Linked DNA regions of Arabidopsis thaliana. The protein of the gene in region 1 interacts with the protein of each later gene in a pairwise test. Each region holds a gene or a part of one and is shown in the gene's direction. Other genes may lie near its edges.

The links.
Region 2: the proteins of NF-YB12 (region 1) and NF-YC11 interact in a two-hybrid assay, tested with the Arabidopsis thaliana proteins (one study listed by BioGRID).

Annotation. Positions count from the first base shown.
Region 1 is NC_003076.8:2,634,230-2,638,187, forward strand, and holds NF-YB12 (nuclear factor Y, subunit B12), read left to right. Parts: upstream 1-1,602; 5' UTR 1,603-1,864; intron 1,865-1,964; 5' UTR 1,965-1,974; coding exon 1,975-2,029; intron 2,030-2,198; coding exon 2,199-2,288; intron 2,289-2,381; coding exon 2,382-2,476; intron 2,477-2,558; coding exon 2,559-2,627; intron 2,628-2,713; coding exon 2,714-2,896; 3' UTR 2,897-3,204; downstream 3,205-3,958.
Region 2 is NC_003074.8:3,956,005-3,961,281, forward strand, and holds NF-YC11 (nuclear factor Y, subunit C11), read left to right. Parts: upstream 1-1,758; 5' UTR 1,759-2,060; coding exon 2,061-2,093; intron 2,094-2,830; coding exon 2,831-2,903; intron 2,904-2,994; coding exon 2,995-3,088; intron 3,089-3,406; coding exon 3,407-3,541; intron 3,542-3,629; coding exon 3,630-3,687; intron 3,688-3,785; coding exon 3,786-4,274; 3' UTR 4,275-4,468; downstream 4,469-5,277. Other genes in the region: AT3G12470 (Polynucleotidyl transferase, ribonuclease H-like superfamily protein), read right to left, coding at 119-781; CYSB (cystatin B), read right to left, coding at 4,519-4,656, 4,942-5,087, 5,207-5,277.

The DNA of each region.
Region 1 (3,958 bases):
CGCTTCTAAAGCATAGATATCAGAGTGAAGGATTAAGAACAAGTACCCACAGATGTCATCCTCGCTTCACCACTGATACATCGCCTACTACAATATATAGGAGACTGCAATTGATTTCACTGGTCCAGAGAAAGCAAATTTAGATGCCAACTTCTATCTCACCTACAAATGTATAAAGGGCATTGTTACAAGAACACAGGAAAATTTGTACCGATTTATACAATGGCAAATTTGTACCGATTTGTACCTACAAATGTACCGATTTATAAAGAGAAATCTTGCATGTTGGAAAAAAGCAAGAAAATTTTGAAGCTAGACTTTTTGATACATGAAACAAAACACAACACTTTTTCAGGAACATTGTTTGGTCAGACGAAGTAAGCAACCTACAAGAATCTGAACTTCTTTTTAATTATCCAACGCCAAATCTACTTGATAAACATTAAGATAAAGCTAAGGCGCTTATCAGTCAACTACACACTTCAATAACAAGCACTTCATTAACTGAAAAAACAAACAAACTAAAGAGGTCGAATTCTCACCAGAAACAACAGTCACCTCTTCATCTGCTCTCTAAGAACACAAAATCCTCAGCTTTCCCAGAAAAGTAATCGGACTTGACTCTGTTTTCCCTCACTTTTTTCTTCTTTCAAAAACCAATAAACAAAAAGATTCAAGTCAATAAGAAAGATACAAGAGGCAAACGCTGGATGCAGAGGTTTATCGATCTATTCATGCTTTTACATTTTTAATGTGTTCACAGGAAGAGATCGATGAACCGCTGCCTCCAGCGACTCTCACTCTTCTTCCAACTAAACTCCAAAATGTCAACGAAACATAAATTTTCCGAATCGGATCAAACGAAACACATCAGATCTGAAAATTCAACAGTCAAAATCTATACCACAAGTAGTAAATAGCTGGATCTTTATTGCCTTATGAAACCAAATGGACAAAAACATATACCCTAGATTACACACATGCATCTGCAGACAAACTGGGAGAAAGAGAATCAGTGTGATGATAGAGATATGTCAAATTAATGAATCCAACAAAGAAAGAAAAAGGAAACAGAGAGATGAAAGTTTTAACCAGGAATCTTCTTGACCAGATACCATTTGTGATTCTCTGATTTGCCTATTGGCCTACTACATCCCTCCTCTCTCTCTATCTTTTAATAACAAACTTTATAGATCTGGTTTTTTCTTCTAGAACTAAAATGTATTTGATTCATATTTATAACTAAAATGTATCTAAAAGTCTCATAACATATTTGTCCAAGAAAAAATTGTAGTAACATAGTTATTGAATTTGAATATCATAAGATTTAGGAAGACATTTTAAAAATCATATTTGAATAACATGTAACATGAATAACATACTAAAAAGAAGAATGACATGGAGTTGGAAATAAATCAAACTCTTACAAAATACTTCAAAATTCAATACATCCCCTAATTTCTCTGATTAACCAGTGGACTAAAAAGCGGATGATTTGTTCAAAACCAAAAAAAAAAAAAAAAACTTGGGCTGAAATGGGTCGTGTCTGCTGCAAGCAAGCCTACATATGTAATGTTCGGTAAAAAGCCCATTTCATTTGTCTTAAAAAATAACGAAATTAGATCTTACGCGCCGTCAATCACTTTAAGGCAAAAGTGAAAGTCACGCACTTACTTCTGGTCTTATGTTTTTTTGCCCTAATCGACTTCTGCGTAGAGAAACCGAAAAAGGAGAGAGAAAATCCGCCGATAAGATTCCGTACGACTGCACGTCTCCGATCTCGCCGTGAATCTGTCTCGAGAGTCTGTTAACTCACCGGATCTCCGTCGTTGATCTGCCTCTGTTTCGATCCGTGTTAAACTCGGTAAAGTCTATCTCTGTTTTCTCCTTTGTTCTTCATCTTATAACTTCGCGGTCTAGATCTTCCGGTAATCTGATTTTCCTTTTGAATTCTGATCATGTAGATTTAAAACTATGGATCCGATGGATATAGTTGGAAAATCAAAGGAAGATGCTTCGCTTCCGAAAGGTTCGGTCTCGTTTCCTTCTTTGGATCGATCTACTACTTAATTTTTGGTTCTGTCAATTTCTTGGTTAAATTGAAAGATTTTGTAAATCTAGCTCTAGCTATGGCTTCAGGTTACTCAATGCAATGACTCTGTATTTTTGTCTGATAAAAAATATGTTTGTTCTTTCAGCTACCATGACGAAAATTATAAAGGAGATGTTACCCGCAGATGTTCGTGTTGCTAGAGATGCTCAAGATCTATTGATTGAGTGTTGTGTAGGTAATGATTATTAGTCTTGAGATTTATGAATGCGAACATTGTTTCAAATTTGCTTATTTCATTACTTATGATGTTCAAATTTGTTTATTGTAGAGTTCATAAATCTTATATCGTCGGAGTCGAATGAAGTGTGTAACAAAGAGGATAAACGAACAATAGCCCCTGAGCACGTACTCAAAGCTTTACAGGTTTGGTGTTACATTCAGCTCAGTCTGATACATCTATGTGAAATATATACATGTTTTGTAATCTTGATTTTGTTAAACACAGGTTCTTGGCTTTGGGGAATACGTAGAAGAAGTTTATGCCGCGTATGAGCAACATAAATATGAAACCATGGTAACCATCATCTCCTAGCTCACAATAAGATCCAGACTTGAATGAAATTATAATCAGTATCATTTGTGTTATTGCCAATTCTGCAGCAGGATTCGCAGAGAAGTGTGAAGATGAATAGCGGAGCAGAGATGACGGAAGAAGAGGCGGCAGCGGAACAACAGAGGATGTTTGCAGAAGCTCGAGCAAGAATGAATGGAGGTGTTACAGTTCCTCAACCAGAGCAACTAGAAGAACCCCAACAACAACAACAAACAAGTCTACAAAGCTAATCAACAAAACCGCAAAGGAATCCCTTATTTTAACATTATCCTTTTGACTTCTTTTTCTTTCTAGCAATATCTCTGTAAAGTGCAAAATTCGTCGCGTCTTGGTGTTGATATGCTCTTTACATTTTTTAACTTAGGGTTGTGTTTTTTCCCCTTTCTTTGAATCTAAAATCACTTAGGTGATTCAGATGTAATTAGTAAGGTTTTTATTGAATCTTAGCAACTAGTGTCATTCGAATCCAAATCCCCTTAAATTATGTGTAACTTCATAATTCTGAAGTCTTGAATCCATTTCTAGTCTGATCACCAAATCTGGATTCCTTTGTACGGCTTCAACATTGAAGCATCTAAACCGGAGAAACTTACCCGGTTTCTTTTCCCAAACCATGGAATTAAACCAAGGGCTAGAGGAGAGGAGTTGGACCACTCTTGGATGTCTAATCAACTGTTTAATTTATTAGTTAAGAGTAATTTTGGTTAGGCAAAGAAGAATGGATTTAACTCTCTCGCCGACATTTTGCGGACTTCTTCTTTGTCAAACACACACACTTCGTTTTCTGCCTTTCAAAGTTTTTTATTTTATCCAGTAATAAGTAATCTAATAATTTTTATAAGTAGATAATTATTTCTACGTAATCAGAATCTCACAATATTTTCGACTTCATTTGTAAAAATGTATCGAGCACTTTTATTTTTTTAATATTATAATTATTCTTCTAGAAAAAAAATTACTTAAAACTTTTATAAAGATCTGATTTCACCCATTTCTGTCATCAATTAATTAAATAAATTTTTGCTGTTTCAGCTCGATTTAATTTGCAAAGCTTAGTCTTAATAATGCAATAATTAATTACAATACGAATTAGTTTTGCTTTGTTTCTCTTTTTAAGCGTCATTAAATAAAAATTATGGTATAACTCCAATTCCACCGCTGCGACGAGAGAGGAGCACAGAGATCTCTCGTTTCGTTTTTCCCGGAAAATCTGAGGAAATAAAATTAAGCAAAAGTTTCCATCGATCCTCTGAGAAAAAATTCGACTCTCTAGTCCACGAGTTTTTTTTTTG
Region 2 (5,277 bases), on another chromosome or scaffold:
TAGTCTACATGTACTAATTTTCCAGTCAACATTCATAGTCACAAAATACGATAACATGAAAACTTTCATGAATTAGAAGAAGACGTTGATTGATAAAGAGAGAAGAACAACAACAAATTCAAATCACAAGATTAGCAGCAACTTTTAAGTTCCAGAGACGTTCCTCAACAGCGAGCTTAAAGCAAACATACGACTCAATCGACGCCTGAAGTACCTGATAATGGTTAAGGTTATAAACGCCCCAATCGCTCATACAAATCGCCGGATCTAACCTCACTCCTACGCGACCCAAACGCTCCTTCACGATCTGTTCAAACGAACAAAAACACATCCTAGCCCCTCTCGAATCTCTCACGAACATCCTTATGTCCAGAAGCTTCCCGATCTCCACTCGATGCCTACATTTCTCGAGTTTTTTCTGGTCTTGGCCGTTCCAAACGCCGACGAAAGTCGTTTTGGGATCGGCAAGGAAAGTGCGGAGGACTTTTGGGAGACCGTAATTGTAACCTAGTTGGATGATGAGACAGCGACTACCGACGCACAACTGGAGAGTTTTTGGTGGTGGATCTGGATCGGAACTATCCGGTCTCCACTGAACACCGATTCCAACGACGAGAGGATGTACCGAGTGATTACGGTTGTAGGAGCGGACGCTACGAATCCAGCGGCGGATAACGGAAGCAGTCGGCGTAACGGTGACGATCAAGTCGTCTCCGAAAAAATCGACAAAGTGTTTTTGGTGAGTACGGAAACTTCTGATTCTTTTGATCGTCGGAGCCATTGATCTGTCTTCTTCTTCCTTTCTCTAAATTTTTGAGCGAGTGTTAGAAAGAGAAGCGGTTTCTTTTTCTTGTTATAGGGTACATTTTTGTTTCTAGTTATAATCACCGTCGATCTTTGTAGTTTTAATCGTACGGTTGACAATGGAGATGCATGTACTGTCACATCGTCAGGCCTATCATAGATGTATACGCAAAACATTTACTAATTACTGTATTTTACGGCTCTGAATTTTTATTTTTATTTCCATAAAGGTTTGATGAAGACATGGAATATAATACTTTTTTACGTACTTCTTTTTACTAAAATAGTTTATTCAGTTATTTGGGGGCTTAATTAGGTAGATAACCATAACCTTTTTTTGTGTGTTTTTTTCACGAACAATGATTCACTGATGTAAAATCATAATTACTGATGAAGTTAACTTTCAACGTATAACGCTATGACGCAATTACTCTTGATATTTTTTCCTATATATTGGTTTGACAAAATTTTGTAACTTTAAATATAACTTCTGAAAAAATAAAAAAGTTGTAAATATAAATTCCACAACATTTTGTTTGGAACTTTGGATACATAGGCCACTTTGTTTTATCACACTTTATAATAAAGGTGGTTTCTGTTTTTTTTTTCTAAAATTCGACAGTTTGGTTTATAAGTATCTAAATTCAACTTGAAGACAAATAATTCTAACTTTATTTTATTTAAATTGTGATAAAAAAAAGTAACCCAAAACATATTTTTTGGTTCAGGCATATGTGTTACAACTTACAAGGATGCATTATCCTCAAACAAAATCCAATAAATAAAAAATAGAGAAGGTGGATGAAGATCTAAGAATTAATACTGTCACGAGAAAACGTATACAATCCACTAATACATAGCCACGTGTATGGTTAGATCTTTTCAAACAATCCGATTATATTTTGTGCTCCGCCGTATATTTATAACTAACATTACTTAATTAAATAACCATGTCGTCGACCCATTTTTTTTCTTTGACCCAAAACTTTAATTTGATTATATATATTTAATTTTAATTTTTCCATCGCACGGAGATTGTAACAAGGAAACCGCCGTCGCCGGATCTGATAGTGCATATCCATGAAGTAGAAGACGAAGAAACTTACTTTCTGATCTTAGAACGGAGTATATGTACAGAAGATTCGCGTCCCTCAATTTTTGATCTCAAGGGTCGGGTTTACCTTTTTTTCCTTCTTATTTTTGGTGGCTTTGCGTTTTCTCATTCGACGATTTCTGGATTTGGGGATTTCAAAACCATGAGGAAGAAGCTCGATACTCGGTTCCCAGCTGTAAGTTTTTCGTCTCTAATTGATCATTTCTGAAATTGAAGTCCAATTTCTCGGAAATTACTTTGATCTGTTGTTTTTCAGATCGAATTTCCAACACTATTTGGGATTAGATTAGTGTTCTACGATGAAAATTAGATTAAGTATCTCATTTCTGGCGAATTAGTTTTAGCAAATGACCTAGTAGTCAATTTCACCCTAATTTTTGTTGTGCTTGTTATATAGCTATAGTAATATGTGTTATGAAGATCCGCTATGGAATGTTTCATGTAAATTAGAGAATTCGAGAATTTAGGTGACTAGTGCTCGAAACGTGTTCTTTATCAACAAACCAGTCAGCTATTGGTTAGATAGTGTTGATTGAAGCAGGGATGTTATACACGAATTGTTTTTTCATAGGCTTGGAACTTTTTGTAGAGCTTCCAATTTGGCTAGCTAGATTTTGTTTAGCTTTATTGAATAAAACGTCAGATGATTTCATAAGTTGGTTATTGTTGATGGTGGTTTATTTTGTTTGAGCTGAGGCTAGAATATTAGTTTTTCACAGATTTTGACTTTCCATTTAATTTGTTAATATATTTTTGTTTGTATAATCTGATTGGTGATTGTACAGAGCGTGCTTGGTGTTTCTCAGTTCTACCATTTGCTTTATAATTCGTTTAGTAGTCTGTAATTATTGCCACACACACTGTGTGATGGTTGCTGTTTCTTCATTTGATGCATATATTACAATTTTTCAGGCTCGTATTAAAAAGATTATGCAAGCTGATGAGGATGTTGGCAAGATAGCTTTGGCAGTGCCTGTCTTAGTCTGTAAGTCATCTTGCTATCATTGACTTCAGTTTGAAAAGAGAATTATTGGAAACTTTACCCTTTGGCTAAATTTCATGTTCTCTTATTACAGCAAAATCTTTGGAGTTGTTCTTGCAAGACCTTTGTGATCGTACATATGAAATTACCCTTGAAAGAGGTGCCAAGACTGTGAGCTCATTGCACCTGTAAGTAACAGATTGGTTTACCTTTATTTTTGCTTTAACTCTGCATGCTAGCATCGTCATTATCTAAAGAGCATGAAAGGTTTCACTTGAATGCATTTTAAATTCTAGAGCTTTCAGATGTTGTAATTATTGATATTGTGGTTTAAGAGTTAACATGATGTTGTTAAGCGGAATAGCTTCCAACTCATAGGGCCTATTTTCACTGCATCCAACACCGAGAGGATGTTGTTTACTGTTACAGAATTTTATACCACAAATTTGGGATAAAGTTCTTATTTTTGCTCATCCATGTTTATCAAAGTGCTTTGTTGTTTACAGAAAACATTGTGTGGAAAGATATAACGTGTTTGATTTTCTGAGGGAAGTTGTGAGTAAGGTGCCTGACTATGGCCATTCCCAAGGGCAAGGACATGGTGATGTTACCATGGATGATCGCAGCATCTCCAAGAGAAGGTTGGATGTTTGATCTCTTAGTTCCATATGTTCTAGTTCTTTGTTTATAGTCCGTGTCAAGCTGATGTGAGATGGTTTATCAAAACAGGAAGCCCATCAGCGATGAAGTGAATGACAGTGACGAGGAATATAAGAAAAGCAAAACGGTGAGCTCGTGTTCTTCTTGAAATATTATACTTCATCATTCATTTGGTGTCTATTCCCAGCTCCTTAGATTCATTGAATATATTGGTAATCACTGCAGCAAGAGATAGGGAGTGCTAAGACCAGTGGCAGGGGTGGTAGAGGAAGAGGGCGAGGAAGAGGTCGTGGTGGACGAGCTGCAAAAGCAGCCGAAAGAGAGGGTCTCAACCGCGAGATGGAAGTAGAAGCCGCCAATTCTGGACAGCCACCACCAGAAGACAATGTCAAGATGCATGCGTCAGAGTCATCACCACAAGAGGATGAGAAGAAAGGCATCGACGGCACAGCAGCATCGAACGAAGACACCAAGCAACACCTTCAAAGTCCCAAAGAAGGCATTGACTTTGATCTCAACGCTGAATCCCTCGACCTAAACGAGACCAAACTGGCACCAGCCACAGGCACAACCACAACCACAACTGCAGCAACAGACTCTGAGGAGTATTCGGGCTGGCCTATGATGGACATAAGCAAAATGGATCCAGCACAGCTTGCTAGTCTGGGTAAGAGGATAGACGAGGATGAGGAAGATTATGACGAAGAAGGCTAAGTCATAACAGCACTATAGGATATATAGAGTAGCAGCGTTTAGCAGTTTGTCTAGAAAATGCTTCTTCTGTCATCAAAATCTTCTCCTGTTTCCATTTATTGTATGAACCAAAGATTGCATGCACTCTATGAAACTTAATTTATTCTCCTGATTTGTTATTTAAGGTTTTAGAGTTTTACATCAGAAGTTAAAATATCTTACAGAGTAAGTAAACACTCAAAAGTACATAAACAAAGGAGAGGGACTAGTCATGGTGTTGCTCCGCGTGGTTGAGATGAAGAGCACCTTCATGGTTCTTGTGAACTTCCACCTTGAACTTTTCCTCTTTTTCTCCCCTCTTCAACTTCAGTAGCATGTTGTATTTTGCAGCCTCGCCGGTTACCTGTGTCCATGTTTTTAATATTAAGCTCATTAATCTTGTAATCACCAACTATTACAACTCAGACGTTAGTCCTCATACCAAGGAGAACCAATATGTTGCTTAAAGTCTTTTCTACTTCTAAAACTTCAACACCATTCGGTTTCACTGACACTTGATTTCGTTTATTTGCAATTTCTCAGATGAAATTCATGCAAAAACATTGTCAAAATCTGACAAGTTCTCTATTGAAATTCATTTTGTGCAATTAAGATCGAAGATAGAGTATATAGTAAATTAAAGCCATACCTCAGCTTTAGCATGCACAACCTCCAGAAGTTCATAAGGGAACAAGGAGTTAGACCTCTGCTGAATGGTCTTGACAGCCTGCTCAGCAACATGCTTCACTTCTGGATCATCTCCGGGAACTTCCCTCCATCCAGATTCATGTTCACCTGATCCACAAAACCCAATTTTCATAACCAAACTCTTTCCTAACCCACAATCTCTGACTTGCTACATATATATCCCCTGACATTATAATGTTCTTATCAGTAACTACTCAAATTCACACCTTGCTTGCAGCCAAGATCGGAGGAAGTGATAGCAGGGGCATCACTGGCAGGCTTGAACTCCTGTAACTCT